4 linked regions of the Yarrowia lipolytica genome follow. The protein of the gene in region 1 binds, or shares a complex with, the protein of each later gene. Links are inferred from orthologs where the notes say so. Each region holds a gene or a part of one and is shown in the gene's direction. Other genes may lie near its edges. The genes, in order: YALI1_E25859g, YALI1_E00533g, YALI1_F31725g and YALI1_C25307g.

Region 1 (7,914 bases):
TGCTTCAGACTGCAAAACTACTGGCAACTAACTCACGTGCTTATTTACCAGTTCTAGTAAGCAACATGCTTATTTACCTGCGCTGTCAAAAAGAGCATACTGTGACAGATTGTGGAGACTTCCAGAAGTTGAAACGAAAAGGGAAATTGAAGCATGCCCTTGTAGATCCCAATGAGAAGTGTACTCGTCCTTGCACTTGTCGTCACGTGGTCAGTTAGGTGAGATCGAGGGATGGGGTCAATATACAACTGTCACGTGACCAGTATGATAGGTCCTTTGTGTGGTACAAATACACATTGTATCATCAATTAAAGCCCTTTTTTTTTTTTTTTTTTTTTTTTTTCACTCATGGCTCTTCCAGACTCCTACGGAAGACTGTTACTGTAGCCGCACTTGACTGAAAAGTGGGCTACTTGTAGGTGGAGCAATGTTGTCTGATGAGATGGTGGTTCAGTAACGGCAAATGTCGTGGAGTAGACAGGCGTTTAGTTCTGGGGATGGGAGGCCCGCCATGTTATTCGATTTTTCTCTTCTTTCTTTTTGTTTGGTTCTTAAATGGTAGAGGTAGAGCCAAGTATTAGGTCAAGTAAACGATCAAGTAAGATCCTAGCTTTTGTAAGCATTTTACCTGCTAGAAAGATCCTGCTAATTCCACTACCAGGGGGAAGCAATGGTAAGTAAAACTAAGTAATGAGATCACAATGCCATACTTTGTCGATCCATCTCAAAAACTGTCTCGAAATACTCGCATTGCGTCGTTTTGATTGTTCTTCGCCATCGTCTTTTTCTACCTCCTGCTCCTGCTCCCAATGCGTTGGAGTGTATAAAAGTACGTCTCACACAGTCTGATACATACGGCATCACTCTCAAACATGTCATGGAAATACGCACTAGGTCAGTACATAAAGAGTCCTGAAAAATTCCCCAACGATGTGACTCTCGACACACCAGACTTTGTCGTGATCAAAGATGCGTTCCCGAAATCACATATCCATTACCTGGTGTTACCCAAGGCTGTCAAGCCCGATACCCATCCTCTAAAGGCGTTTGAAGACGACAACCTGTACGAAAAAACTCGTGCCATGGTGGAAAAAGTTGAGAAAATGGTTGCTGTCGAGTTCATTCGTACAAAGGGATACTCCAAGGACGTGAAGATCCAGTCAGGCATCCACTCGGTGCCCAGCATGAATCATGTCCATGTCCATGTTATGACGACAGATCTGTCTTCTCCCCGGCTCAAGAACCGCACACACTTCAACTCGTTCAGGACTGGCTTTTTTGTGCCATTCAGAACGATCCCGGATCTGAAAGTCCCAAGTCTTGACGCCTGGATGGTCTCACAGGAGAAACTCATCAAGGGGGACATTGTGGTGGATGGAGAGAACTTTGGGAACAAGTTTGCAAAGGCCAAGAGAAGACTGGATGAGGATTTCCACAAAGCCACGATTCACGGTATTCCAGAGGAGGTGGAGGATGATGATTATAGGGTGATGGAGATGATCTCTTAAGAGACAAGTGGCCATAGATAACGAAGGACATTCATATGGAAATTGATGACATTATAACGAAAGCATGCTCATGATACAAGTAGCAACCAGGTCGTTTTCTCTCAGTACGATCTCGATGGAGTGTAATAGTTGACAACGTAGCTGAACATGGCAACATCGTGATAAACTCATTATCAGTATACATCATATGCCACAGCTGAAACATAATAGTGCTTTGGCACTACAGGCAAACTACACTCTCACTTGCGATTAAATGCTTAACTAGTCTACTACAACTTCTCGTACTCGAGCTTACCCTCCAGCTTCTTGTTCTCGGACACCTTTCTGCAGGCCTTGAGCAGATCGTTCTGAACAATGTAGTCCCGATCGTCTCGGATGGCAAAGAAGCCAGCCTCGGTGACCACGTTTCGGATATCTGCTCCGTTGAAACCGTCGCTCATCTTGACCAGGGCCTCGTAATCGATTTCGCCCTGCTTCTGAACGCCAGCAGCGTGGATCTTAAACACCTCCAGACGGCCGGCCTCGTTGGGCAGTGGGATCTCGATCTTTCGGTCCAGACGGCCTGCTCGCAGCAGGGCGGGGTCCAGAGTATCGGGCCGGTTGGTGGCCATGATGACCTTGGTCTTTCCGAGATAGTCGAAACCATCCATCTGGTTCAGCAGCTCCATGAGCGTTCGCTGGATTTCTCGGTCGGAGGAGGTTCCCTCGGAAAATCGACGTCCTCCAATGGCGTCCACCTCGTCCATGAAGATGATACAGGGCTCGTGTTCCTTGGCGTATCCGAACATTTCTCGAATCAGACGGGCAGACTCTCCAATGTACTTGTCGACGATAGCTGAGGCGGGCGAGAAGATGAAGTTTGCGCCAATAGTGGCGGCCACGGCCTTGGCCAGCAGGGTCTTTCCTGTTCCGGGAGGGCCGTACAGAAGCACACCCTTGGGAGGCTTGATTCCGACTCGCAAAAACAGCTCGGGGTTCTTCAGAGGCAGCTCAATGACCTCTCTGAGTTCACGGATCTGCTCGTTGAGGCCACCGATACCGGAGAAGGTCAGCTCTCCAGGCTCAAACGTGGTCATGTTGTAGACAAGAGGATCGACCTCTCGGGGAAGAATTCGCATGATAGTCAGAGTGGTCATATCCAGAGACACACGCACACCCTGCAGCAGCTTCTCCTTCTTGATGCTGGACCGACAGCCCACAATGTATCGGGGGCCGTTGGAGGCTTTGACGATGAACCGCTCCTCATCCAGCTGCTTAAGAACCTCGCCAATCAGCTGGCCTACCGACTGTAGCGCCTTGATGTCGTCCTCGGTCTTGTCGAATTTGCGCTCGAGGTCTCTGATGCCCAGTCGCAAGTCCTTGAGCTTGACCTCGTACTCTCGATGCTCCTTGAGTTTTCTCTTGAACGACTCGATCGCCTTTTCCCGCTCGGGATCTGTGGGTGTGGCAGCCACCTCGGGCGCCTCCTGGTTGAGAGCTGCGAGCAGCGGGTCGTTTTCCATGTTGTGTGTGTTGTGGTGTGTTGTACTGATGTAGTAACTGGAGCGTTGAGGTTCTAATATGTGAAGTGGTGATGCACCTCCCAATATTAGTGTTTGGTAGAAGAGTGGCGTATGGTGGCGAGGTGAGTGAAGGTGAGAGTACAGTAATGACAAATATAGACAGAATATCGGGGAATAAATGATCATCAATCGCTTTTATATTCCTCACTTATTGCTCTCAATATCCCCATTACTCCACAACTACTCTAAAACCTCGTATTCTGACACCTTCCACAGGATTACGTGAGGTAACAGAGTCTGGATGGGTATGGGTGGACCCATTCGCTCTTGGTGGTTATGCAACCACAGATCTAGTAGAGGTACCCGTAGTTGATGTGCTGTAATATAGACACAATGACAAATCCATAAATAAAGTGAGAAACCCCATTGAGGAGAAAGAGGTGTACATCTAATTATTGATTACATAAGCGTATAAGTAACTTAACCAAATTGTCACATTACTTCACCCAACAGTTGAACTATCTTTCATTTTACTTCAGAATGACTTTGAATATAGGTCTATCCAACTCTACCAATATAGATCCCACATATAATCTGAAAAGTGCATTCTTCTTGTAATTTCTCAGACAATCTGCTTCCATCATTATCTTATCGATAGGATATCTCCACATCTTGTTACAGACACCGCCATCCCCGTCAAATAAACTCCGATGCAAGCTCCATGTGCAGTGAAATTTATTAGCATTGAAAAGAAGCACATAAAAGATCACATAAAGCACACACCACCACCACTCTGTGCTAAATCTCCTCTGCTACAATGGGAGCCGACTTCAAAGTGTTCATTCTGTGCGGCCAGGGCAAAAACATGGCACCTCTCTCGTCCGTGAGAGCGTCTGGAGTGCCCAAGGCCCTTCTTCCCATGGCCAACGTGCCTGTGATCGACTACACCCTCAAATGGTGTGAGACCATCCCCAACCCCAAGGTGTTTGTGTGCTGTTCTACAGCTGACGAGGCGGAGATTTCCGCCTACGTGGACTCTTTCAAGGCTGAGCACTCCACCTCAGTTGTGGCTTCCAACGTGACTATCTGTTCCAAGACCGATGCGAAGTCTGGAGACTTCATTCTGGAGCTGACTCGAGGGGAACCCTCTGATTTCATTGTGGTTTGCTGCGATTTTATCACAGACATTCCCGCCAGCTCGCTGGTCGACACCTACCGAAGCCGAGACTCGGACTCGCTTCTCACAGCCTTCTACTACCCCAATACCCTGGAGAACGTGGACAAGAAGTCATTGCTCAAGGACGTGACGGTGCACTCATCGCTGGACTCGCGAACCCCGCGGCTGCTGGACTCGTATTCGCGTGACTACATTGAGAACAAGAAGACCATGCCCATCCGCCGATCCATGCTGTGGCACTTCCCTAAGTCTTTGGTCTCCACACAGCTGCTCAATGCGTCCGTCTACTTCTGCACTGCCGACGTGTGTAGAGTCATCACCGAGACTCAGGCTGCCCCTGAGGAGGATTCCACAGACGAAGATCCCGACACCCGATCTTCGTCGCCTGTCAGACAAGAACAGGAGGAGGCACACACCATTCTGGCCAAAGGCCGACAGTGGGACCGAGTGGTTCGAGACATTGCCCGACGGTCGTGGGCACATGCGAAGCCGCTCAAGTCTGTGTCTCTGTGCGTTCTGGACTCCAATACCTTTGCACGAGCAAACAACCTGTCTGCATACATGGAAATGAACCGAGTGATTCTGAAGGCAAGAGCCAAGGCCAACGCCACTGCCCAGAAGCCCGCTCCAGCTGTTAAGGGAGCTGCCACTGTTGGTGTCGACTCTCTGGTCGGCGAAGAGACCCAGCTGGGCGAGCGAACCAGTATAAAGCGATCTGTGGTTGGAAACAACTGCACCATCGGCAAACGATGTCGAATCAACGGCTGTGTCATCTTTGACGGCGCTTTCATTGCCGATGACGTTACTCTGGAGAACTGTCTGGTCGGAACTAAGACCACAGTCGGTACCAAGGCCAAACTCACAGGCTGCAATGTTGAAGGAGGATACAAGGTGGAGGCTGGCAAGGTGGCCAAGAACGAAACCATGCTACAGCTGTCCTTGGAGGGTTTGATGGAGTCCGACGAATACACTGACGACCATGACGAAGATGACGATGATGACGATGACAGCGAAATGGGCGACTCGGACGATTGGTCCGTCAGCGGAGGAGACGACTACGATGATGATGATGGGCTCTTCGATCGGTCTTAGAAGGACAAGTATAGCTAATGTATGTTGGATAGAGTATGGAGTAATTACAGACTTGATCTAGAATCACAGAACATTTTCACGTTCTGAAATGTTCCGCACTCGTATGTGATGTTCAAGTATAGTTGTATCTTGTACAATTATCTACAGTCACCGAATCCGCCACAAGTAATATACATAATTGTCATCATTCATTATTCATTACTGTTCTGATACATACAGTATCATGCCATAGGGTCGCTAGCACTTTCTATGAGTACAAATATTCCTTCGTGGTGCTGCTCTAAACTGAGATTAAACAAATGCTTCATCTCCTAGCCTCTTCCTCAGAATTTCAATCTCTTTATCGAGATCCTTCACAGACATCTCTAAAGGCCCCAGTTCGTCGTACTTTCGCCTCTGCTTGGCCTCCAGCATCATGTTCTCCACCATAAACCTCTGTTCCTCCATGACCACCAGCTGTTGCTGAAGTGCCTTGTAGTTGGCAGGAGGACGGGGTTTAGCTGGCTCGGGGGCTGTAGCTTCACTACCCAGCACCTTGGGAAGCGTTTTCAAGGGCAGCATCTTCTCTTGTAGAAATGACACCGCAGCTGTGTATATCTGTTGCTGTATTCGCTCTTCTGTAGGAGACAGTCCCTCCAGTGCTCCTACTCTTCTAGCAGCCGAATCTAGCTGCGAAAAGGTATCGAGAAGACGCTTACGCAGCTTGGACGCTGCCAAAATGTCCTTGGGATGCATACCGGCCATCTTTTTGGACGCAATCGTCTCCTCAAGCTCCTTTTGGAACCGAGGCATCATGTTTTCGATGGAAGTGGTCAGATGGGTCATGGTGTTGTACAGCTTAAGCAGCTCGCTGGGATCGGAGTTGACATCCCGCTGAAAGTTACGTCTACCAAAGACTGTATTCTTGCAAGTCATGCAGATCCGTATGGGTTCGCAATCTGTTGGAATGGTGTCGCTGAACTCCTCTTTCATATCGAGACTGTTGATTAAAATGTTCACACCAACAGGAAGAGAACATTGTGTGGATGTCTGTCCACACACCACCTTTCCGCACACCCTGCAATGATGAGGGCGGATCAGAAAGGTGAATTTGACCTGGCATTCCGGACAATTGGGCTGTGTTGAGTCTTCCTGCCATGGTACTGAGGCTGTGACAGCCGCCTTGGGTTTCCACCAGGGTCCCGAGCTCTCGTTCTCTATGCTTTCCTCCGCAAGTCGTCTCAGTCTGTTTTCCAGCTTATTGACGGACAGCTCCTGGATGTCGATTTTCGCCTGGCGTTTTTTCTTGAACTCTTGCGTCAGATCTCTTTCAGTACCTGTCGTGTCATTGTACCCTTCTCTGCCCGTGTAGCAAGTCTTGCACACCCAACACCAGATACCGCCCTTTGGTTGGTGGTGAGCATCTCGGCTCAACTTCATTCTGTAGCGACTGTGGCCGTGGCAGAAGATGTTTCCACAATGTCGGCAGTGCCTTGAGCCGTTCCTGGCTCCCAGCTTGCGTTTGCAGTCCGGATAGTGGCATGTTTGGCCCGGTCCGGGGTGCTTCCAGTGCCGTCTGGTCACCATTTCGTCGGTGGGTCGCGGTTTCGTGTGTGGTTTCTCGCTGGACGCCCGTGTCTTGCCCTTTACCTTGCCATCACCGTGTACGTCGTCAATGTGCCGATTCAGTTGCATCAGCGTCAACATTGTCTCCTCGCAAATCGGACATGTCAGCGAAGTGGCTGAGTGTGATTCGGGGCCTGGGGACGCCGTGGAGACGACCGGCGGGGTCGGCGGGGGTGGCGGAGTGGGAGCGGCGCTTGTTTGCACCACCTTGGGCTCCTTCACCGGCTCCACCTTGGTTCCGATCACTCGTTTTTTGCGCATGCTGAAATAGAGTGTACTTGTGGGTGGTGCGTGATAAGCTGAGTAATATGGCGGGGTTGCATGTGAGGGTCGGCAGGTTAGGGAGTTGTTGAAAAGGTAGGGCAGGTTTTGAGGTTTAGTGATTACGTGGAGTGCGGATATGTGTTTTGATTTTGTATATCTAGTCTACTGGTGGAGTTGTGACCGATGCTGTGGTGTAGACGGCTAACAAACTTGGGTAAGCATTGCACCTAATTTAGTTGAAAGAAAGTCAAGGATAGCGTTTATTTACTGTAGCAACAAGGTGAAACTGGAGTTGCGGAAAGATAGGGCTTCCGAAGAAAAGAAAGAAGGGATTTGATATGGAGAAGTCTTTAATCACCTTTCATTTGACAGATCTACACCTGCACAGTGGTACAAGTATACTGTACGGATACCCCAACGATGACTCTCTACATCCCCCCCCCATCTCAGTCGATTCCAGTAGTACACTCGTATGTACTGCACACCAAAACAGTAAATATTGTTGCCTCTAACTCTGACAGTACTACAAGTACCGTACGGTACTTAACACTGGTACTGTATACAGTAAATGTACTCAACCTCGTCCAGTAGCACTTGTATGTCGTTAGTTGGTGGGTCGTTATCCCCTCAAGATCGAATTCAAACGCTCTGGGGTGATTTAAACCCGATTTAAACCGTCTCGGCCTGATCTGAAACATGCGATGGGATGCAGTTCGGGCATAAGTGGTTGTGTGTGACCACTCTGAAGACCACTCTGAAACCATTT
Region 2 (8,136 bases), about 2.5 Mb from region 1:
TCGTCAAGCAGAGAGAGGATACCCAGCTTTGCCTCGATCAGGTCGATACAAGGCTGGTTGTCGGAAAAGTCAATGAAGGTCCAGTTGATTTCCTCCTGCACGTACTCGTCCTGCTCGAGCTTGAACACGTGCTGGTTGAATTCCTGTTGCAGCTTTTCGTTGGCGTAGTTGATGCAGAACTGTTCAAACGAGTTCTTCTTGAAGTGCTCGAAACCAAAAATATCCAGTACACCAATGAAGGTCTCGACCTGTTCCTGCACTTTGGGGTCGCACAGGCCGCCATTGAGCTCGCTGACCAGCCAGTCGAACAGTGACGTGTAAATGTGCTTGGACACGGAGTCACGCACCACCAACGACTGCTTGTGAGTCTGGTTGGACACGATCTTGTCGGCTCGCGTCACAATCTGTTTCTTGGTGATCCATTTGGCAAACTGGACAGGGTCAATCTGCAGCAGCTCACAAGCCTTGATAAGAGAGGGCTCGTCGGATGACAGAACCGCGTCCTGACGGGTCTGGCCAATTTCAATGTTACCAATGTGCAGAATACCAGCCAGAATGTTCCACAGGCTCTCTTGCTCGGGTTTGGCGATGCCAATAGTCTCGAGAGACGCACCGGTCAGCTTGAATTCCTCGCTGTCGTCCACGCCTTCAATGGTATCATTACCTCCTTGGTTGAGGTATCGAAAGGCCGGAACACCTCCCTCGACACCTAGAGCCTTGGCAAGCTCGGGAGAGGCACCCTTGACCAGCTGGTAAAAGATGTGGTAGTTTCGCTCTGTGGCAGGCTGGAACACGAGACGAGATCGCTCCAGCAAGAAGGTTCGGATTCGAGCACCCACAATGTCCACGTCCTTGTTGAAGTTGATCTCCAGATATTTGCCGAACCGCGACGAGTTGTCGTTTCGGGTGGTCTTGGCGTTACCAAAGGCCTCCATGATGGGGTTGGTGGCGAGAATCTGCTCCTCGACGTGGGACAGTGAGTCACCTTGTGACACGTCGCGTTTTCGTGGTGCTAGCGGATCCTCCACTGTGGCAAAGTACCGCATAATGTACTTTGCAGACACGGTCTTTCCTGCTCCGGACTCTCCTGACACCACAATGGTCTGGTCCTTCTTGTCTCGCAGCATGCATCGGTAGGCGTCCTCGGCAATGGCGAACAGATGGGGCTCAAGCTCACCACGGGTCTTGCCGGCGTAGGCCTGGATAATGTCGGGGGTGTAGAGGTTGTCGACCCGCTGAAAAGGGTTGGTGGCAATAAGCACGATTCCCGAGTAGGTGTAAATGTTGAGCATCTGGTATCGGGTTCGGATCGCGTGCAGCACACTGGGCTCATTGAGATAGGACAGGGAAGTCAAGTCTTCGGTGGACTCCAGAATGGGGGGGTTTCGCAGGGGGAGCTGAGGGACCTCGGCTGACGACTTGAGCACAGATACGGAGGTCTCTACCGACTTTTCCTCGCCGTTCTCCAGTGTCAGGTTGATGGTCACCTTCTCACCATCCGTCTTCTGGTCGACCACCTCGGCACCCACCCATCCTTCTTTTTCGTCTCGGATCCAGCAGCGGCTGTGTTAGCAGTTGTGTAATTAGGGGTTTATCACGAGATTTTGACAGTCGTATGAAACGCCGAAAAAACGCGAAACCAGCTTTTTCGGCGTGGTATTGCCGGTTCATCCTCCCCTTCTCGTCATACTCACATTCCGGGCTCGTAACTGATGGCCATGAGCGCGTCGATCCGTGTGGATAGTGGTGTGGTGGTGTGGTGGTGTGGTGTTTGTGTGTTGAATTAATAAGCCTATTGCACGACGTGTGGACGGGGGAAAACACGTGTGGGCTTGTGTCGTAGGAAGAAGCGCAAAGGAATTTGAACCAAGTGTGGTCGGTAGCGTAGTTGCAAAATGTTACTCAAGATAGATAACACCCGATACTAAACACCCTTCTCCTGTTTGATGTGTTGGAAGGAAAGTCAAACTCTGTGTGCTAGTGCTAACCTGCAAGTAACCGTGCTCAGCGAAACACAAGACAGCAGCAGCAGCAGCAGCAGCAGCTGTCCAGGTGGCACCTAAGCGGGAGCTAATGGCGCCAAATCTAGCATGTTCATTCTAACTCCCCAATTCTGATAGGTGTTTGTTTCATGGAGCGACGCGGTAGGTCCGTTGTGGCAATCTTCAAAGAAATATCTCCAGTAAATAGCCGACTATTGACAATAAAAAAAAAAAATCAGTCACTACTCTGTGCAAACATACAATACAACTCAACTATGTCCGTGTAATTGTTTCTCGCTGGCACGTGTCATTATTATTATTTCCAGTACTTGTCCTCGTGGGCCCCCGTGATTCACCTCCCCCGTATGTACTCGTACCGGTACTACGTGTCCAAAATAATGCGCCCCTGCACACATTCCGAAAGAAGGGGTTGAAACACCTGTGACCGGTAAACGAAGCGAAATTGAAGTGAGAAATGAGTAAATAAAGGCCGCGCTGAAACGGGCGAAATTGAGGGAAATTAATGGGCCCAAAAGACTAGAACAATAGGGCCGACAAGTTGACAGCATACTACTTGTTTAATCGATAACACTCCCTCCTACCGCGTTCACAGCACCTGACGGGACCCCTGAGACTCCCGAAAAACACGCATTCTTGAGCTGCAGTACGCACCGTTAAAATGCGTATGGCTTAAGCTAAAAACAGGGGGCTCAGGGGCTCAACATGTGACATGGTGCCTCTGGTCGATCGCCGAAAACAGAGAAAAACACAGAGCCGTTCTGAGACGGCATGAACAATCATCTGAGACCGTACTGTTATTATTTTAGCCTGTCACCAAGGGCTGGCATGTGAAAAGCTAAACTGTTGCCGGGGTGACACCTTCTACACAACGCGACAGTCTCTAGCATTAGCCTTTTTAGGTCACGTGCCAAATAAACGAAAGAGGACACAAAGGTTAGGGGTCACCTTGGGACTGTTAATTAGTGCTTATTAATCGAAAGAATGAGGTGCTTATTAAGCATGGCCCACTACAGACAAATATGAAATGTCAATTCATGCATAAATTATCGTTGTTATCTAAAACCGTGTCTACTCCGTTCGCTGTTCGCTGAGAGCAGTCTTCTTCTTCTCCAGAACCTCCAAGGAGTGCTGATGAACGTTGTGAAGCACGAGTCCGAGGCCAGCCCAGGCCACACCGGAGAAAACGTATCCGAGAGGGTAGTAGCCGGCAGGCTTGAGTCGGATCTTGTTGGAAAGGAACTTGGTAGCGAATCCTGAGTTAGTATGTGATGTGTGCGAAGATATCTGATAGCATGATTGGTATCTGGTGTGCAGTCCATATCAGAACCGAATTGAAGACGATCTGAGATCACCGCTTGATTCATCATAAGCAATGCAGTTGATCCGTGCCAACAACCACTCCAATTCCAGTCAAGATTGGTCAAACATGTCTAGAACCCTTTGTGTCACTTGCAAGTCGATGGTTAAGACACAAAAACATGTCGTCGAAGCAGCGGAAATTGTCGGTGGACAATCTCGTCGCGCATTGCGATACTCACCAAGACCGGATGCACCGACTAGCGAAGTAAACAGAGCCATTTTTGCGGTATTGGTGTGTGCTCCAGAGATGACTTTGGTGATGCAATATGATTTTGGAGGTTGCAATTTGCGGTGCTGTGATTCGTTGGGAAAGCCGGGTAACTTTAAAATGATCTTGGTAGTTGTCAGTTCGAGTTGTGGTTGCAACATATTTAAACCCCCGAATGAAATCTGGAACCCTAATATATGCAAAAAAATCTAGTCTGATGACTATAACTGGAGATATCATCAAACCACCACAGCTCTCACGCCATGTCAGAACTTACACCCGCTCAGCTTAAGGCACAGAAGAAGGCCGCCAAGGCCGCCAAGCGTGCGGCTTCCAAGGAGGCATCGGGCCAGGCTCCTACTCGAGATCCACGAGAGGCCAAGAAGGAACAGCAACAGGCCGCAGCCAAGGAGGGAGGCTCATCTTCAAACACCGGAAACAACAGCAATAACACACAAGGCGGAAGCAATCAATCGTCCGCCTCTGCATCGTCCAAGGAGGATCGAACCCGGGCTTCCAGACCCGCTTTGTTTGGGCACCTTGAGAAGGCAGGAAAGGTGACTGCAGCGGATGCTGGCAAGGACGTGCATCCCGAGGTGATCACCTTGGCACTCCGGTACTCGTCGTATCAGATTGTGGGCTCTTCTGACCGAGCCCGAACTCTTCTGCAGGCCTTCCAGCGGGTTATTGCTGACTACGAGACTCCCGAGGGAACTACACTGTCTCGAAACCTCACTACACATCTTGGTCACCAGATTGATTTTGTCATTTCTGCACGACCGTTGTCTGTGTCCATGGGTAATGCCATTCGGTGGCTCAAGCAGGAAATTTCTGTGGTGAGCATTGACATGTCCGATCAGGCTGCCAAAGACATGCTGGTGGAGAAGATTGACGAGTACATCAAGGAGAAGATCGATGTGAGTGGATCCGTCATCGTGGAGAGCGCCGTCAACGACATTGCCGACGGTGACACCGTCCTCACTTTTGCACATTCCGAGGTGGTGGAGAACACCTTCATTGCTGCTCACCAGGCCGGTAAGCGGTTCAAGATCATTGTGGTCGACTCCCGACCTCTGCATGAGGGCCGAAAGCTGGCTCGAGATCTGTCTGCCCGGGGCATTGAGTGCATCTACATTCTGGTTTCGGCACTGGCTCATGTTCTGGACGACGTTTCTCGAGTCTTTCTGGGAGCCCATGCCATGCTTTCTAACGGCGCTCTGCTTTCGCGTGTCGGCTCTGCCCTCATCGCCACTGCTGCCAAGCGAAAGAACATCCCCGTGATCGTCCTATGCGAGTCCATGAAGTTCTCTGACCGAGTCCAGCTCGATTCTGTCACTCTCAACGAGCTGGCCTTCCCCGAAATGCTGGCAAACACCTACATCAGTGACAAGAAGAAGCTTCCTGAAGACAAGGCCAAGACCTCGCTCAAGTACCTCAATCTGTGCTACGATCTGACTCCTGCCGCAAATCTCACCAAGATTATCACCGAGCTGGGTCATCTGCCTCCCTCGGCCGTTCCCGTCATCATGCGAGAATACAAGTCCGCTTACACTATGTAGGGGAGGAGGTTAAGAGAGGTATTTGTAAGATAGAGGAACGACAAGGGGGGACTAAAATATAGACAATAAACAGTACGTTAATGGGGTTCGTGTGATATTGATGTATGTACAGTACATACTAAAGGTAGCATATGCAGTTTTTGCCAATGAGTCGTCGTGTCATGACGACACTCGCATAGACCTTTAGACGATTAACGACTTGTAATCCGTGTACAGGTATGTACGGCACCAGTATATATCTACGATATTGCAGCCGTGAGAGATTTATTTGACTTCATATCTGAACAGTTGTAGTTACTGACAGTGTTACTCCCTCGTACCAGTGCCGGTATGTAGTCTTATGAGTATGCACACACACCCGTGTTCGAGACCATGTATTAGCTAAAACAGTGTCTCGGATACACGAGATAAGAACAGTTGTATCACACACAAGACGGGCAAGAGTCGTCTTTACTCCTTAACTAATGCCCTTGTTCTGAAGTTTGAACATACTGTCCACCTACAGGCACGCCTTAGGCAAGAAAATCACTTACACTGTGTCGAATATGTACATTAAATAGAGATGCTAGATGAGGGTTTTGCTGGATCTGTGTTAGTATGTTGAAGATGTGTAGAAATATAGTTGTTTGAATGCAACGAGGAACTGCCTCAAGTCGTATATAAATGTCTGGTCGCTTCTAATAGCTCGAGGTGCTATTTCAGGTAACAGAGGAGGAATTCCGACGGCTTGGCGAAGACTAGAATCCAACATGTCCGTGTCTAGACTTGGGTTGCTTATTCAAGACGCCACTCAAGATTAGAGAATGATTGTCAAAAGAGCATCTTAAATAGAAAAGGATAGAATGAGCAAAGACTTCATTTTTTGTCCAAACGGGCACTTCTGCTCACAAAATAGCTCTCGCCTGTCCCAGTTAGCTCTCCAGCTTCGTTACTCTGTTCAAGAGCAACCATATCATACTCACTTCTCATTCAGCTTGACGCAAAAGGTTCGAATCAAACGGGGGTCAGCCTGGACAGCTCGCATGATTTCGCCCTGGGCTCCGGGAGAACAGTCGAACTTCATGTAGAAGTAGTCGCCGACCACGTAGCTCTTCTGCTGGGCCTTCATGATCTGGGGCAGGGGCTTGAATCGCCAGCACTCAATGAGGCGGACCACGCCTCTGTTGCCGATGATCATTCGGCCGATCTGGGTGACGGCCTGCTTGGCGGCCGCGTGTGCCGGAGTCACCGATGCGATTCCAACGAGTTCGTAGAGCATTTCGAGTCTGTTGTGTAGAGGGGTAGTTGGGATGCGATGACGTCGTGTGAGAGATGAAGGTTGAAAATGTTACTGGATGCTGCAACCTTATTTTGGCACTCTGAACATGGTCGGTCTGTCAGTACAATACGTGAGTAATTAAGAGCACTTTAATATCGAGCCGAAATAGGTAGGTCGGATATATGAACAATAAAGGAAATTTACCTGAGGGGTCTGGTTGCTCTCAAAGTGGATAAAATATATGACTGCGTTCATGTAAGCCAGATGCTGCTAACATTCATCTCTAATTACTGCTCAGGTAAAAGTCACGTGCATTTTTTGCGTTCGGAGCATGTACCAGTATCAAGTATGTACTGTACATACCTGGAAATGACCTGTGGGTGCAACATCTCGGACAAGTACCATACCGGCAGGTATTGTAGCTTGCTCTGAGAGAGTCGCTGTATGTAATATCACTGACTACAGTATTACGGGCAGATGGCGTTTTAACCTGTTTTAACCTGTTTTAACCTGTTTTAACCTACAGTAGGAAGAGCATTGATGGCCTGTCACATTTCTCGAGACCACAGTCCTGGTTAATGATGATTATTTGATGGGGTCTATTGATAAATGGTATCTTGCAAGAGCTATGAGTGCTTCTGGGATTGTTTCCATTTTTGTGCAGCTAACAGACATTAGTTAAATGATATTGATGATGTCCTGGCTTTCAAATTTTACCCAAGTAATCAGCCAACTAAGACACTTACCTAAGTGCCTGGAAAACGGTGATATCTCGAGATACTGTAATAGTACAAGTATTAGGAACGGCGCTGGAGAAAGAAAGAAAAAGTCTACCTCTCCTGTATATCATTTGAGAAGATATGGATTCTCGATCAACCGACACACGTCTGTACTTGTAGAATATCTGTCAACTATTTCTCAGCCACTCGACTACTCGTGTGTACATACTGTAGATGCCTGTTTGTAGCCAAATTTCGTACTGTCCCCTATTCAGACGGTCGCCTGAAAGCTGCTTCCATAGTATCCTCTGATGAAGCACCGAGCCTGCAAGTTGTGCACATAAGTACGCATCAGACCCATGTGCGGCTGAATCATTGGTTGTGTGGGGTGAATTGGACCGTGGTTCCAGTCTAGGGATGGCCCTTCAGGAGCAATGACAGATCACAGAAGGGGCCCAAGTATTCGATTTCTCGAAGCTCAAGTCGGCTTCTATCATGTCACCCGCGTCAACTGTACTCAGTGTTATCGTGTTCTCAGCACTGAGTCTGACAGGCAGCTGAGTACGCAGTTGCAACTACTGCACATTATCGTATCTCGTTAAGGCGGCTGTCTCAATAGTCCAAGGTTTAGTTGCCGGCCTAGAACAGCTCGAGTTTGTGAGCAACTGTGTGGTGTATATAGAGTCTAGGGTGGTCGGGAATTGTTCTCGTCTATATTGATTCTCATTCTTGTGATTCATTATTCACCCACATTTATCAGATCACCCCCACAGTTCTCTCTACTTCACTTACCCTACCTTCACTGAGTCAAACCGAGTCACCCCAATCCACCTAACTTAACTGTGGCCTACCCCAGACAACATATCGTTCCACCACCACAACTACACTCACAAAAACACACACAATGCTTCGAACTCTGGCCCGATCTTCCCTCCGATTCGCTCCCCGAGCCACCATGGCTCCTACAATGGCTCCTCTGACCATGATGCGACTCAACCACACCCTCATCAAGGGCTCCATTCCCGACAAG
Region 3 (8,095 bases), on another chromosome or scaffold:
ATAGCACCGTCCATCTGGGCGGCACCGGTGATCATGTTCTTGATGTAATCGGCGTGACCGGGACAGTCAACGTGGGCGTAGTGTCGGTTAGCAGTCTCGTACTCAACGTGGGAGGTAGAAATGGTGATACCTCGAGCTCGCTCCTCGGGAGCTCGGTCGATAGAATTGTAGTCCAGGAACTTGGCGCCGCCCTTCTCGGCAAGCACCTTGGTGATAGCGGCGGTCAGAGTGGTCTTTCCGTGGTCAACGTGGCCAATGGTTCCAATGTTCACGTGGGGCTTGGATCGGTCAAAGGCAGCGTAACCTCGGGCAAAGAGGACCTTGTTGCTGGCAACGGAGGTGGCCACTCGCTGGGCGGCGGGTCGCACACTAGCAAGCGTTTTGAAGAACATTTCGCGTTGTGGGGTGTGTAATCAGAGAAGGAAGCACAGCTTGATTTTGGGACAACCACTTAAAACTTTTGCAGAACCCCCTTACCCTACTTGTAACTTTAATGGGCAATAGCGGAATTAAGACAAAGGTATTGTAGGGGTATGATAGCGGAGCGAATGATGTGAATACCAATCGCTGGGGGGCGTTCAATTCGGCACCAATTCCTCATTCTACTCCTTCAAAAATTATTTTTTCGCCACTTTCCACTCCTTTGAACATCCCTTCGTTTTCATGCAATAACTTCACATGGTTGCAAGCAAGTTTTCCACTCTGGAAGTGCTTGAAATGAGCATCTCTAGAAGTTGCCTGATTGACGGTTTGGGTTTGAAGGTGCAAGTTGGTGTTTGTCAATCTGGTAGTATTGTTGTGGCCGTCATTGAGTCTCTATATTGTGTAAATAGATGTCACACCACCAACCATCCAATGAGAGGCTGGAACTTCGATGTTGCTAGGTTTTGTCATACGAGCTTTTACTCGGGGCAAAGTAACTTTCAGACTTGAGTCGTTAACGATATGGCCAGTGTTGAAGGCGGAGAATTGAGGGACCGAGGGAGGATCGGAGGAGTGTTTATTGTTTCATTTGGTGATATTGTCAGATGTATCAGCTTTTAAGCAAATTTAAAACAATATTGGTGGATAGATAGTGTTCATGTTGAGTCTTAACTAATGGGACAGTTTAGTTGATACTGTTTATTGGAAAAAGGAGATAAACCTCGAGAGATGAGATGTTCCACTGTATAAGCTACTGTAATTTAGAGCAAAGGGGAACAAATGATCTCACATGGCCGCACTTGTGTATTTGGCATTGATTCAGAAGCCGCCTGACACTGTAAGGAACTGAATGTGACCATGCTCGAATATTGGAACACTGGAGTTGTGACACAGCTGCTCGCAAGCTGCCCATGTTGGCATGTCACATACAAGCACATGTAGTGATCCAGCCCTCCATCATTCCTACTCTCAGCTCTCCTTCCATATCCTTCCATTCACTATATACATTTACTTGAAGAGGAACTTCTTTCGCTTGGCGGCTGCCTTCTTGACGGAGGCCTCGAGATCGCCAACATCCAGACGCTTGTGGCCTCGGATGTAGTACAGACGCTCGGCGGTGTACTTCTGGGTGGCCCGTCGGATAATCTTGACAGACTCGACGGTTGGAGAGAAGATCTTGAATCGTCGGTCGATTCCGATCTTGGTGATCTTAGATCGCAGCAGCAGGTTAGAGGACAGTCCTCGGAAGTCCACCACCATGGTGAGGCCCGTGAACAGAGAGCCATCAGTGGTCTTGATCTGCACAATGTCTCCGGGCTTGATTCGGTCAGCGGATTTGGGGTTCATCAGCTCCATCTTGACGCCCTGGGGATCAAACTGCTTCATCAGCTTGTCAGTGACGTGTGTAAGAGCGTTCTCGGTACCCAGACGTCGGGGGTGTCGCTCGTAGATGTTGACGGTCTTTGGCTCTCGCTTGATGGTCTTGAATGTGGCCATCTGCATCACGGGCAGACGCACCGCTGCCAGCGATGGACGGATCAGTCGAGCCAGCATTTTTGTGCAAGTGTGGTGATGCTGTATACTGACTGTTGGTGTGCTCTAGGGCCTATTTTGGTTAAATTTTCAGTCGCGGTTAGGGTTTGCGGTTTGTAATGCTGGGAAGATGAGTCCGAGACGATGAGAAAACAAAGGGAGAGGGGCTATAAGAATGAATGAGCCGATGCGTCCGTGGTGTTCCTCTACCATATGGCTCGAATACTGTAGTAATTTTCGTCTTTCTACAATGAGTTTGCCTTTGTTGAATCGTTTTGTAATGTTTTCTTGTTTTTCTACAGTTTAGGGCTCTCAAGACGGTACAGAAGAGAAGATCGTGACAAACAAATTGATACCGAGAATGTTTTTGTGAAGATGGCGTCTTGGTGCTGTTATTCTACCCATATTATTTTCTCACAACCAGTTACCAACCGCTCTAATTCAGTCTCATCCAGTCCAAAGTGCTTATTCTGGATCGGTACATACATACAAGTAATGTAGTGCTTGGTCGAGTTTTTCCTCACTCGTACCATGCACCATAATCTGAACCATAATATAATTTGTATCACCAACATCCATCCAGAGCACAACACCACGGTACACAAAACCCTCGCCTCGCCACCACCACCGACATGCCCACTATATTCATCTCCACCCCCAGTGGTCTGAGAGATATCCAGAAACACGTTTTGGCTGATGATGATGTCCACGTCGCTATCGAAAGCGCTCTCAAAGAACTGCCCCCTAACGCCACAGCCAAGGGATATCTCAGCACCAGAGGAGGCCAGAGTCTTGAGAGCCTGTCTGCTGCAGCTGGTGACATCTACTTGCGCTGGAATATGCGTCTTTGCGGTGGAAAGGGTGGTTTCGGGTCCATGCTGCGAGCCCAGGGAGGACGTATGGCCCGAAAGAAGAATAGAAAGAAGACGGAGACGGAGAACGACTCTTTTCGAACGCTGGACGGCCGCCGAATGAAGAGTATCCGGCAGGCCAAGGAGCTTGGAGAGTACCTCAGCACAGCCGACGAGATCAAGAAGAAGGAGGCCGAAGAGAAGAAACAGAAGCTGCTCAACATTCTGCAGAAGGAAAAGACCAGTGGGTCCAGTCGAAAGAGCAAGTTTGAAAACACACGACTGCTGGAAGACCATGAAGATGCCGTTCAGAAGATGCGAAAGGACGCGGAGATGGCTGCTCTGGCTGTATCCGAAATTGATACTGCCTTGTCATCTTCTGCAGGATCTTCCAGCTCGAATGTGAAGGCCAAGGGTGGAGATTTCTTTGGTATGGACTTCAGCGAATCCGAAAGTGAGTCTGAGTCCGACACCGAGTCTATATGAGCCGATAAAGACTCTCTGGGCCTCTACCCGTTAACAATTATTTATAAAGAGATTATTTATTGACAAGCAGATGCCAGCAGCGAAGGAGTAGGGTTCCTGGGGATGGTACTGTATGACATCGAAGCATACATGATAGATTGTACAAAATGTTCTCCACTTTTGGAAGTGCTCCTGGCTTCCATAGAACCGCCGTATGTACAGATATCTCTGTGTGTGAAACAACACGCACGCTATTCAAAACGCCAAGGGTAGTATAACAGCACAGATATCCTAATCGATCCAATGTTTTCGTTCGATCATTTGTGTCCGAGAATTTTCTATACAACAGATTCCTCATTTATTGCACTTTCTTGACTCCATAGATTATCACTACTGTACCGTGCATGACACGTGACTCTCATCAAAATTTAGGTCCAATATGCAAAGTTTGAGAAAACTCCAGCATCAGTTCCATCACCAAAAAATGTCCAGTCAGAACCGAGGCGACCGAGAAATTGATATTTTCGTTGAGCAGTTCATCAGGTGAGTGTTTGAGGGCTTCTTGCTGGAAAAAGAGGGCTCGATGCCTAAACTCGGGGCTGTTGCGAGACCTCGTGACATGGATCACGACATCCTCACCAAGCCGAAACTAACATAGCCAACTGAAACGTCGACAGTTGTCGGGATCACACGCAGTTGCTCTGGCCACGGCACAACTGCTTCTGCGGTTTGTTTCTGCCGCAAGATGGAATCACATTGACTCTCTAGTCAAGGACATTCGTGCCCTGGGAGTGCGTCTGGTGCAGACCGCCCCCAAGGAGATTGCGTGTCGAAATATCGTATCGCGAGTGCTGACACTGATTCGGGAGGAGCAGCACGGCCACAAGGCCGAAAACGGCGGGCTTAGCGGCAGCATGCTGGGTCTTTTGGAGAAGAACGACAAGAAGGAGGAGGTGCTGGACAAGGCTGCTTTGCGACAGGCGAACCGAGATATCCGGCCCTACATCATCGAGGGTATTCAGGATCTGATTGACGAGGTCGCCAACATCGAGGAGAACATTGCCAAAATGTCTGTCGACGAGATCCACGACAACCAGATCATTCTGACCCCGACCCCTGCATCCGAAACCGTGCTGCTGTTTCTGCTCAAGGCCGCACGTAAGCGAAACTTCACCGTTCTGGTCACCGAGGGCTTCCCCAACCAGATTGATGCAGCACACAACATGGTGGAGAAACTGACAAAGGCCGGAGTCGAGGCCATCATCATCCCCGATGCTGCCGTCTACGCCGTCATGTCTAAGGTCGGACGAGTCATCATGGGCACTTCTACCGTGCTGGCCAATGGAGGATGTCTTTCATCAGCTGGATCTGCTCTCGTTTGCGCCACAGCAACACAGCATTCCACCCCCGTGGTGGTACTTACAGCCATCTACAAGCTGTCCCCCGTGTACCCCTTCGATGTGCCCAGCATGATTGAGATTGGCTCTTCGGCACAGGTGGCCGACTACTCCGACTCGGAGATTGTGGAGGGCTTTCAAGTGTTCAACCCTCTTGCCGATTACGTGCCCCCGGAGGACATCCAGATCTACAACACAAACATTGGCGAGTTCAGCCCTGCCTTTATATATAGAATTGTGCTGGATCACTACAGTGATGCGGGTAACTTGTGAATGGAGTGAGGTGGACTGGTGTAGATAGACGGTTGAATAGCGAATAAAATGGTGCTAATTAAAACTGCAGATTGGTGTGATACGACACCTCACTAGACTGAGAGAAGGAATGAGAACCAGTGGTTTTGGCGCAGTCTACAAGTTTTACATTAGGGGATGTTACATTGATTGGAATGGGAAGGGACTTACCCTGAACAGTATGTACAATGTACAGTGCGCTTCAGAGGTTCGTGTGCAAAAATAATAAAACGAAGACGTATGCCGCCATACCTACTGTACATACTGTACCTTGATAGTGTGTAATAAACTGCTTAGAGATTGTTACTATGAAGAATATGAGTACTTGTACTGATTTGAACTTACATACAAACAGTGAGTAGGAGTTCCTTGGTATAATCCCTAATCATGTACAAGTATCTACTTGTAGTCAGCTTATGACTTTTTATGAATGCAGGTCTTGTCGAATTTGTTGTTCTACTGTAGCGCAGTTACAGGAACCACAGGATGTAGGCGCTTGAGCGCATATGTCTCTTTGTAAGCTAAGTATAGCTACTTTCCATACAAATGCAGTGTTAAATTATATATATATATATATATATATACATTCATCATCCTTTCCCTCTTCCTACAACCCAAAATGCTCCACGTGTGTGTACACGGCCTGGTTACCTGTACCTCTCAGAACTGCCCTGTCGTCGGTGATGTCAACAACAGTGTTGGAAACAATTCTCGTAAACCGTCTAGGGCCACAAATGCACACTCCAGACTCACCCTGAGCCATAGAAATGACCGGCGAAATGAGCCGGTAGAAGGACTTGTCAGATCCAAGCTTCTTTCGTCGGTTATACTGATAAGGCTGGGGTCGTCCCTGCTTGAGACGCAGGTACCCGGCCTCAACGAAGTCGTAGTATACCGGAGAAAGCGTTGATGATTGAGCAAGTGCAGTCTGGGCTTGTGTAAGTTCGTTTTTCGGCTGGGGCTCGATACCAGCTGCACAGCAACATTCGCCCCGAGAAACAGCCACCTCGTCACAACAACAACTAGAGCAGTTAGTGACAGCCCCACAGCAGTCATCTTCACAAGTCGCGAAGATCTCGACAACAACATCGATTCCAGAGGCTGTATCGTAGAACGTTCGTGCGCATTCAAGCAGCTCAGTCAGCTGGGCGGCATACAGTTCCATGTCCTGGAACCGCTTTGTGATCCAGATGAACTTGAGACGTCGAGCAATGGTCTTGTGCTGGTTTCTAATAATGTCCACGGCGATAGGGAGGCAGAAAGAAGCTCCGATACCGGCACAGACAAAAACAGAGGTGTCAAACTGCTTGAAATCACGAGTTTCGCCGTAGGGACCGTCCAGGTAGACTGGAAGGGTCATTTTCTCGTGTTCTGGGAGCTGAGAGGCCTTTTTGAGCAGCCGCTTAGTGAATCCCGCCTTTGAACGAATCACAAACTGCATATCGTCTCCGGGCAGTGTGGAAATTGTGAAAGGATGCTGTTCTAAAGGAGATACGTTAGGGAAACGGAGATACATGTGCTGTCCAGGGTACCATGAGAGTCCTGTGGGAATTGTGGCCACCACAGCTCCAGGCTCGACTCTCAGGGCTGTCTGATGAGGTTTGAGCCCTGCCTTATTGATGAACAGGTTCCAGACCAGTCTGAGCACTCTGTCAAGTCCAAAAAGAGCCAGAGGAGGGATTACGACATGGTATGCGTAATTGGGCGCGTGGATAACGACTGCTACCATGAATCCAATCATAGTAACAATGTGTTGGAACACAAAGAACTCGTAGCTCATGTTTCGGAAGGGCGCAAAAGAGGAAATGAAGATCCAGCAGAGAATTCCAAACGCTCCAAAGCCTTTCAGGGCAAACGTATTTGTCGACACCTGGTTCTGAATCTGGTGAGTGACTCCCCAGGTCTTGATAAAGTGGGCCAGGTGCAGAATGACGCACAGGAACAACACTCGGGCCGTCCATCGATGGTACAGGTTAAGCCTCTGAGCAGAAATGCCCGTGAGAATGGACACGAGGTTTCTTCTGGCTGCCAGAATGACGATAAGTGAGATCTGGGAAATAGACACCCAGCCGCATCGGTAGGCCACAGTTTCGTAGTTCATAGGGTTGAAAGGGTCGATTTTGGAGAAGAGCAGCAGCATTACAATCATCACGTAAAAGAGAATGATGAGAATGTCTCCTACTGGCGGGAACTCCACCGTGTAATTGACCCAAGGAATATCAAACCCTGGGATCTGTAATAGAGAGGCCTCACGAGCTGTAGATACGATAGCTCCAATGATCTTGGCTGGAACAGAGTCTGATCTGGGTGGCTTTTGTCGTTTCAAGTAGTACTTTTGTCGCAGTAACGAAAGCACGCGGAAAATGGTAATTACTGCCAAAATGGCACCAATGACCATCCAGTAAACTCTTCCCAGAAACCCTGGTCTTGGAGATCCGTCCGAGTTGTATGAGCCCTGTCCCTGGTTTTTGGCGGTGGCCAGAATGTCGTAGACCATGTTGTGAGTGACTTCGAGGGAGTTTGCTGAGAATAGGAACCTCCTGGAGCTGGTCGTAAGGACTCCGATACCACACACTCTTTACAGTTTGCTCAAAGATGCATAGTGTTCCGCTAGCTAGTAATAGTATAAATCTATTCGCACATAGACTCAGATTTTCCAGCTGAAACGAGCAAATATCAAACTCAAAAAAGAGACATCAGCAGCTCATAATTCCAGTATTTCCATCTCTTTTTTATTCAACTCCAACACCATTTCTCACACACAAAAATGAGCCACGACCACGGAAGCATGGATATGGGCGGCATGGACATGGGCGGCTCGTCGTCCGGAGGAATGTCCCACAGCATGGCCATGACTTTCCACTCCAACATGGTGGACGCTCTGTTTTCAGATCAATGGACTCCCTCCAACCGAGGCCAGTACGCGGGAACGTGTATTTTCATTGTGTTTTTTGCCATGATCTATCGAGGTCTGTTTGTGGTGAAGTTCAAGCTGGACGAGAAGCTCATCAAGTGTGGCAAGCTCAACAAGCAGGTGGTGGCTCTGAACGACATCGGCCGAGACCAGCCCTACAAGAGTCTGCGAGATATCGAGGATGAGCTCGATGAGGAGGAGGAGCAGGAACGACTTCAGAA
Region 4 (6,498 bases), on another chromosome or scaffold:
CAATCAACGCGCACAAGCCCTGAAGTGAGACCAGCAGCATACCATCCTCCAGTAGCGGCGTTGTTGTTCCATTGGACGGATGTGACGGTGACGTTTTCAGGGAAAGTCACCCTGTTCTTCGAGTTTGTGGCCTTGACAAACCCGTCCGAGCGCAGTCCATCGAACAATCGATACCTATTCTCCTTCTTGGAGTACTCGAATCGCCACAGAATGGTAAAGGCGTACGAGTGCGTGTATCGAGCGCCCACCATGACTCTTCTGACACAGTTACCCATAGCCACAGTTCCGTCCGAGCCTCCAGAAATGACAAACGGATGGTTGATGGAGGTACCCACACTCATAGCGTGCGTCTGGTGTCGTGTGACAGAAGTCAGAGACTTGTACAGGTTCAGCTGTCGAGTGGGCAAGACTCGAACAGTCTCGGAATCCTCCAAACACGTGAACGAAGACACATGGCTCTGGTACGCCACCGCAGGTGTGTAGTCAATGACTCGTAGGTTGATAGCCCGAGTGTGACGAGCATCAGAGACGTCTGTGAGTTTACAGAAACCGTCTGGCGACGAGGAAAACACCAAATGTGAGTCGACGGGGTAGCCACAGGCAATGGAGGCTACGTAGGTGGAGTGGATGGGCAGAAAGTACGACGGTATCAGTGCGGTTTCATCGTCTGTGTCTGAGATATCGAACTCGGCAATCTTTCCGTCTGTGTATCCGACCACAATGACTGTGGGTCCTCTCCAACACAAGCAGGTGGCTTTTGAGCTGGCCAACATAAATGTTCTGTAGGGAGCCTTGAGAGTCATGTGCACGGGTTCGTCGTTATTGTTGTAGGGCACTTCAAAAACACGCACAGAGCCGTCTTGGAAAACAGAGGCCAGTAGTCCTACACTGTCTCGAGCATCATCCTGGTTTCTGGGTTGGAAGGCCATTTCCGAAGCGAAGCCGAAATCAAACGTGAATACCTGGTTCAGTGATGGCTGTGGGCTAAACTTCCATATTTGAATCGTTCCAGGTCCAGTATTGCAGGCAAAGGCCTTGAACGTCGGGTCTGTGGATTCTGGCAGACCGGTGGTGGAGTCTGACAGAGAACTGTTGAGAGTGGAGACCGCCAGGTACTGGGCCACGGTGTGTCCGTAGGCCCAGGCGACAGACGAAACAGGAGCTCCAGCGTTAATTACCGAAGCTGGGTTAGGTGCATCCTGATCGCCTCCACTGGCTTTCCAGGAAGAGCTAGTCTTGGGGGCCAGAGTGGTCTCTTCACCGGTGCTATTCAAAAGAGACATTGAAGGACCAAGGGTGGTGAGATCATCGCCCTTTTCGGCAGTTCCAAACTGCTCAGCCACGTTGACTTTGAGGTCAGGAGGCGTCTCGAACGTCACATTGGGCGTCATGATATTCTTGCCCCACGCGTAGGTCACGTTACCCCAGGTTTGACGGATAGCATTACCCTTGACCCGCGAAGCCTCATCAAAGCCGTAGAACAGGTTGAACCGGTCTTTGAGAGCCACCTTTCGGTCCTCTCCATTCTCCTTGTTGGCAGCCGCCGCCTTTGTCGTCGGAATCTTTTTCACAGGCATTTTTCGCGGCGTGTTTTTGAGAGTCGGCTTGACGGCCTTGGTCTTGGATTTGCTGGACTTGCTGGGCACGTAGTCCACCTCCATCTCGTCACCGTAGTTGCCATCTTCCTCCTCAGCCTTGACCTCGTTCACATCCACGTCCATGTCGTCATCTTCCACGGTCGGTTCAATGCCGGGGTTGAAGTCCGAGTCCGAGTCGTCACCCGCAAAGTCGTCGCCCTCCATCACGTAGGAGGGCCGAGGACGCCTTGATCGTGTCATTGTGGGTTGCTGGTGGAAAAAAGTCGCGTTCCTGTGTTTTTTTCAGGTCCGTAATTTTCGAACGTTATTGCATATCTCGCATAAACCTTGGCTGGGTAGTGTGAGGATGCTGAGTACGAAATAGAATATATATCCTGGTGAATAGTACGTGTTTGTGAAGAAACCGTGTTTCAGTTGGCAGATAATGTCTCTCAAACAACCTCTTTGGTCTCTAATTTGGATCCAGTACCGAGAATATAGCGCACGAGTACACAGGTCCAACGTCGTAAAAAAGGAGTCATACGACCTATGATCCAGCTTGCAATGGCATCACAAGTACAGTATTGTACAGTATGTGCCGGTATATACTGAGATATCGATATACCCCATAGTAACACCTTGGTTTGCACTTTACAACGTCTAGCAAACAACAGAGATTGCTCACCCTTCCGATTCGTAACTCTTCACTGGAACCAAGGTTTCGTCACTGTACTGGCGCGTTTGTTGATACAAGTCTTCTACACACATCTACATTTCACACTCTCAATATCAAATATGTTACTATATACATTTATCGTCGTCGGTACTTGACAAACTCCTCCTTCTTGGAGTCCTCCAGGGCCTGGAACCGCTTGGTGGGGTTCTCGGACATCTCCTGCAGGTAGTTTCGGGGGGTGGCCTCGGGGACCTCCTGGGAGCCAACAACAGGCAGATCGCCCTTCTTGATCACCTCCCATCGGCCCGGCAGACGCCTGGAAGCTCGCTTGAAGGCCTCCTTGACAACCTGGTCGTGCATCTGGCCTCCAACCTCAAATACCACCTTTCCAGTGGGCCATCGGGTGGCCATGTTCTCGATATCTCCCTTACCCTTACCCATTCGGATATTGACACCCTTTCGAGTGACGGGGGTGGAGAGCAGAAACCGTCGGTAGAGCTGAGAGCCGGGAGCGGCCTTTCGAATCAGCTGAGCAATGGCTCCGTCAGCGGCCTTGAGCTGCTTGTCAAACAGCCGCACACCCTCAGAAACAAGACGCAGGCCCCACTGGCCAAACTCGACCGTGGAGCCTCGAGTGGATCCTCCGGTTCGGACAGTGATTCGGCCTCGCTGGGCCTTTCGTAGGTTCTTGAATCGAGGTGCATACTCGTGCTTGTGTCGAATGGAGCCCAGAGTGGGAACAGCAAAAGGAGACACGACAGTAGGGCGGGTAGCTGAGTTAGTACGGCCGTCAGAGGAGCACGGTATTGAGGGTGGTCGACTCGGATAGACCTGTTGGAATGACAGGGATTCCTTATTCCCTAGGTTCCTTAAGTTGTGCAGTCATTCGTGAACTTCCGATCCGAAATTTTTCACTCTCACCGTGTCGTTTGGCACGGTCGTATTGTCGCTGAGAATCGATCTGCTGATTGCATGGCTTCGCTGAATGCCTTCCAAGTCTCTTCCTTCCCCATTTCTAGCGTTACTCACCCCGTAGTCCGTTTACCAGTCGAGCCAGCATTTTGGTGATTGTGAAAAAATTAGCTCGTGTATTTGTTCAGATGGCTGATGAGTAAGCTGCACGAAGTTTATTCGACAGCAGGACATGCAGTACTTAGCCTTTAGTTGAACATGCTAAGTAACTCCCAACTGCTCAAGTACACCACACAAGGGCATCAGACAGGGGATGGGGACCGGAAAAAACATGAGCACTTGCTTAACATACAGTCATGTGACCTTAATATACCCCTCAACCACCACAAGCCCTTCCAACCCCTCTCTAACTCAGCGTATCAGTACATTCGTCGACGTTCGAACTGCCGGGTAACTGGGCCAATCTCATATCGTCACGTGATTCAGGATTCTGAAAATATTAATCCCAACCTAACCAAAAATTGCAGCATAGAGCAAATCGACCACTACAAGTAATCCAGCATGGCCAAATTCGACATCAAAGAGACATATCTGCGCTTTCTGCGGGACGACCCCGACATCACCATGCCTGTCGCGGCCATTGAGGCCCTGGTCCAGCTGCTCAGTGAGACCGAAACCAGCACATCAGCCGAGCTGATTCAGACTCTCAAGGAGGCGAGCGCGGAGCTCAAGACGTCTGTGGACAACTCTATGTCGCTTTCTGCAGGCTGTGATCTGTTTATGCGATTTGTGTTGCGAAATATCCGGGAATATGGCGACTGGGAGGCCTGCAAGGGCCATTTGGTAAAGAACGGAAGGCTGTTTGCCGAGCGAAGTAAGGCTGCTCGAAAGACCATTTCGGAAAAGGGTCTAGCATTTGTGCGGGATGACGATGTCATTCTGGTCCACTCTTTCTCGCGAACGGTACTGGCCCTTCTGGAACATGCTGCTAAGAACTTGGTGCGTTTCAGAGTGTTTGTCACAGAGGCTGCTCCTAGTGATCAGGGTAAGCGAATGGCCAAGGCATTGAGGGAGAGAGGCATTCCCGTGAGTCTAATTGTGGACAACGCCGTCGGATCTGTGATTGACGAGGTGTCCAAGGTGTTTTGTGGTGCCGAGGGAGTGGCGGAGTCTGGAGGAGTCATCAACCACGTCGGATCATATCAGATTGCCGTGCTAGCCAAGAACGCAAATAAGCCCTTCTACGTGGTCACCGAGAGTCACAAGTTTGTGCGAATCTTCCCTCTGGCCCAGGCCGATCTGCCAGACACCAAAAAGATGTTCCACTTCACTGTTGAGGAGCCCGAGGAGCAGAATGCCGACAAGGGTCTGTCGCCAGTCGTCGACTTTACGCCTCACGATTACATCACTGCACTTATCACAGATCTGGGAGTTCTCACTCCAAGTGGCGTTTCTGAGGAGCTGATTAAAATGTGGTATGAGTAAGACTGACGGGAGTGGCACAGTGCGTGGAGTATATAGATAATGGAAAGGTATGCAATGGTTCATTGGATAATGGAGGTGCGGTCAGGGGAATGATTACAACAAGATAATCATGTATAATTTATTCGTACACAATTGTACTTTTACAAGTGCCCTCACAACGGACGGACTAGCCAATTCTAGTCGACTTCTACTTATAGTCTGCGACTTCTTCAACGTCACCAGGGATTTTCGCGACATCTTCGACATGTTTAGGGATTCCAACAGCCTTGGCTTCCTTTTCCTTGAGAGCCACTTCCTCCTCCTCAATCTGCTCGGTGAACTTCTTCACTCGCTGATTCCACCAGTCGGACTTGCCCAGATGGTCGAGAGAGCTCTCGGCCTTGTCCTCCTCCTCCTCGGGCTGCACCAGCTTGATGGCAAACGTTCGGAAAGCGTCCTTGACGGTGTATTTGCCGCCTTCAACTAGATCCTTAGCCACCAGCTCTCGGGTTCGACCAAGAGACTCGATAGCAGATACTCGGTCGGCAGTCTCTTCGAGAAAATCATCAAACCCAGGCATGTCTGCAATTTCGTGAAAGGCCTGCATCATGGGAACAGAGTCGGCTCGTACTCGTGACAAGGAGTCAATGGTGAAAATGTTCAGGTTGTCGTAGACTTGAATGTAGTCGGGACGGGTCATGACCTGTCTGGCTCTCCATAGAGGCAACTCGGGCAGTTTGTGGTCGCTCAGATGCAAGGTGTTGTAGATAGACACGTCCTTGAGCCGTCGTCTATCCATCTCCACCAGTTCTCGCATCAGAAACATGGCGGAGGTGCTAAACTTACCACTTTCCATGACATCGTCATCCATATCTTCTCCAAGCAGACCACACTGGTTGAGAAACCAAGTCTTTTCTCGGTCAATCAGCTCCTGGCAAGCCTTGAGAATGTTCCTGTGTCCTGCGACATGAGCCAGATGTTGGGGTCTACCCCCAACAAGATCGTACACCCGGTTGGCTGTCTCCACGTCGCAAGAGATACCTCGAGCTCTCAGTCGAGCAAGCTGGAAAGCCTGAACGGACTGAGCTCGATCCAAATCCTTGATAGTGACAACCTCCAGGCGAGTTCCCAGCTTCTTGAGTCGTTCGTACAGCCAGTAGTCATCCGAGTTGAAAATCATAGTCACCAGACCAGCTCCAGAAAGAGCCTCGGCCTTCTGCTGGAGCAGCTCGACCAAATTGTTTCCGTCAGCATCGTCTCGAATCAGATGGGCATTGTTGATCACCATAACCAGAGGTCGGCCAGTCTTTCGGACCTTGCCCACAGCAACCTCCTCGAGTTTGTTAAAGGCTCGCTCAATGTCCAGCAGCGCGGTGGTATCACGGGGCCCCCGGATGGAAAACAGAGATCCAATGTAGTCTTCGTGGAATTCGAAATCCAGAGCCTTACCTAGTCGGATTCGAAAGATTTCTGGGTCAGCATGGGCATCAAGAATGGTACAGCACGAGCCAGAGCACTTTCGCATGGCCTCCAGAATCATGCTGGTCTTTCCGGTTCCCTTTTCTCCAATCAGTAGGTAGTATCGTCCGCTGATTCGTCCGGCAATGATGTCATCCAGCAGCTTCTGATGACTTCTCTCCACCCAGCCCTCCATCTCGCTTGTTCGTCGATGCATGGTCAATTCGAACGCCGGGTCTCCGTCCTCGAACGCCTCGTCCATCTTCTTGACCACATGGCGCTTATAGTAGTAGTGGTACGTCATTCCGGCGATGCCCAGAATGGCGATACTGGCGAACGTGATACCTGCGGATTCGGCCATTTTCGTGAGGATCTCCTTGGTGCGTTCCCAGCCGCTTCGCGACTGTTTGT

The links.
Region 2: YALI1_E25859g (region 1) and YALI1_E00533g share a complex: the UniProt entries of both Saccharomyces cerevisiae proteins name them as parts of the translation initiation factor 2B (eIF2B) complex. The link is inferred for Yarrowia lipolytica from reciprocal best matches to the Saccharomyces cerevisiae genes GCD1 and GCD2.
Region 3: YALI1_E25859g (region 1) and YALI1_F31725g share a complex: the UniProt entries of both Saccharomyces cerevisiae proteins name them as parts of the translation initiation factor 2B (eIF2B) complex. The link is inferred for Yarrowia lipolytica from reciprocal best matches to the Saccharomyces cerevisiae genes GCD1 and GCD7.
Region 4: YALI1_E25859g (region 1) and YALI1_C25307g share a complex: the UniProt entries of both Saccharomyces cerevisiae proteins name them as parts of the translation initiation factor 2B (eIF2B) complex. The link is inferred for Yarrowia lipolytica from reciprocal best matches to the Saccharomyces cerevisiae genes GCD1 and GCN3.

What each region holds. Positions count from the first base shown.
Region 1 is NC_090774.1:2,581,868-2,589,781, reverse strand, and holds YALI1_E25859g (uncharacterized protein), read left to right. Parts: upstream 1-3,827; coding exon 3,828-5,279; downstream 5,280-7,914. Other genes in the region: YALI1_E25889g (uncharacterized protein), read left to right, coding at 873-1,508; YALI1_E25866g (uncharacterized protein), read right to left, coding at 1,778-3,196; YALI1_E25826g (uncharacterized protein), read right to left, coding at 5,571-7,145. UniProt on the Saccharomyces cerevisiae protein: Acts as a component of the translation initiation factor 2B (eIF2B) complex, which catalyzes the exchange of GDP for GTP on the eukaryotic initiation factor 2 (eIF2) complex gamma subunit.
Region 2 is NC_090774.1:49,478-57,613, forward strand, and holds YALI1_E00533g (uncharacterized protein), read left to right. Parts: upstream 1-3,833; coding exon 3,834-5,129; downstream 5,130-8,136. Other genes in the region: YALI1_E00510g (uncharacterized protein), read right to left, coding at 1-1,563, 1,695-1,720; YALI1_E00527g (uncharacterized protein), read right to left, coding at 3,072-3,256, 3,542-3,581; YALI1_E00551g (mitochondrial 37S ribosomal protein bS6m), read right to left, coding at 5,695-5,716, 6,092-6,387; YALI1_E00574g (uncharacterized protein), read left to right, coding at 8,011-8,136. UniProt on the Saccharomyces cerevisiae protein: Acts as a component of the translation initiation factor 2B (eIF2B) complex, which catalyzes the exchange of GDP for GTP on the eukaryotic initiation factor 2 (eIF2) complex gamma subunit.
Region 3 is NC_090775.1:3,168,359-3,176,453, reverse strand, and holds YALI1_F31725g (uncharacterized protein), read left to right. Parts: upstream 1-3,756; coding exon 3,757-3,815; intron 3,816-3,930; coding exon 3,931-4,942; downstream 4,943-8,095. Other genes in the region: YALI1_F31760g (uncharacterized protein), read right to left, coding at 1-392; YALI1_F31744g (mitochondrial 54S ribosomal protein bL19m), read right to left, coding at 1,432-1,977; YALI1_F31733g (uncharacterized protein), read right to left, coding at 2,349-3,104; YALI1_F31689g (uncharacterized protein), read right to left, coding at 5,568-7,457; YALI1_F31687g (uncharacterized protein), read left to right, coding at 7,728-8,095. UniProt on the Saccharomyces cerevisiae protein: Acts as a component of the translation initiation factor 2B (eIF2B) complex, which catalyzes the exchange of GDP for GTP on the eukaryotic initiation factor 2 (eIF2) complex gamma subunit.
Region 4 is NC_090772.1:2,526,989-2,533,486, forward strand, and holds YALI1_C25307g (uncharacterized protein), read left to right. Parts: upstream 1-3,726; coding exon 3,727-4,650; downstream 4,651-6,498. Other genes in the region: YALI1_C25288g (uncharacterized protein), read right to left, coding at 1-1,838; YALI1_C25301g (uncharacterized protein), read right to left, coding at 2,389-3,121, 3,175-3,227; YALI1_C25336g (uncharacterized protein), read right to left, coding at 4,838-6,498. UniProt on the Saccharomyces cerevisiae protein: Acts as a component of the translation initiation factor 2B (eIF2B) complex, which catalyzes the exchange of GDP for GTP on the eukaryotic initiation factor 2 (eIF2) complex gamma subunit.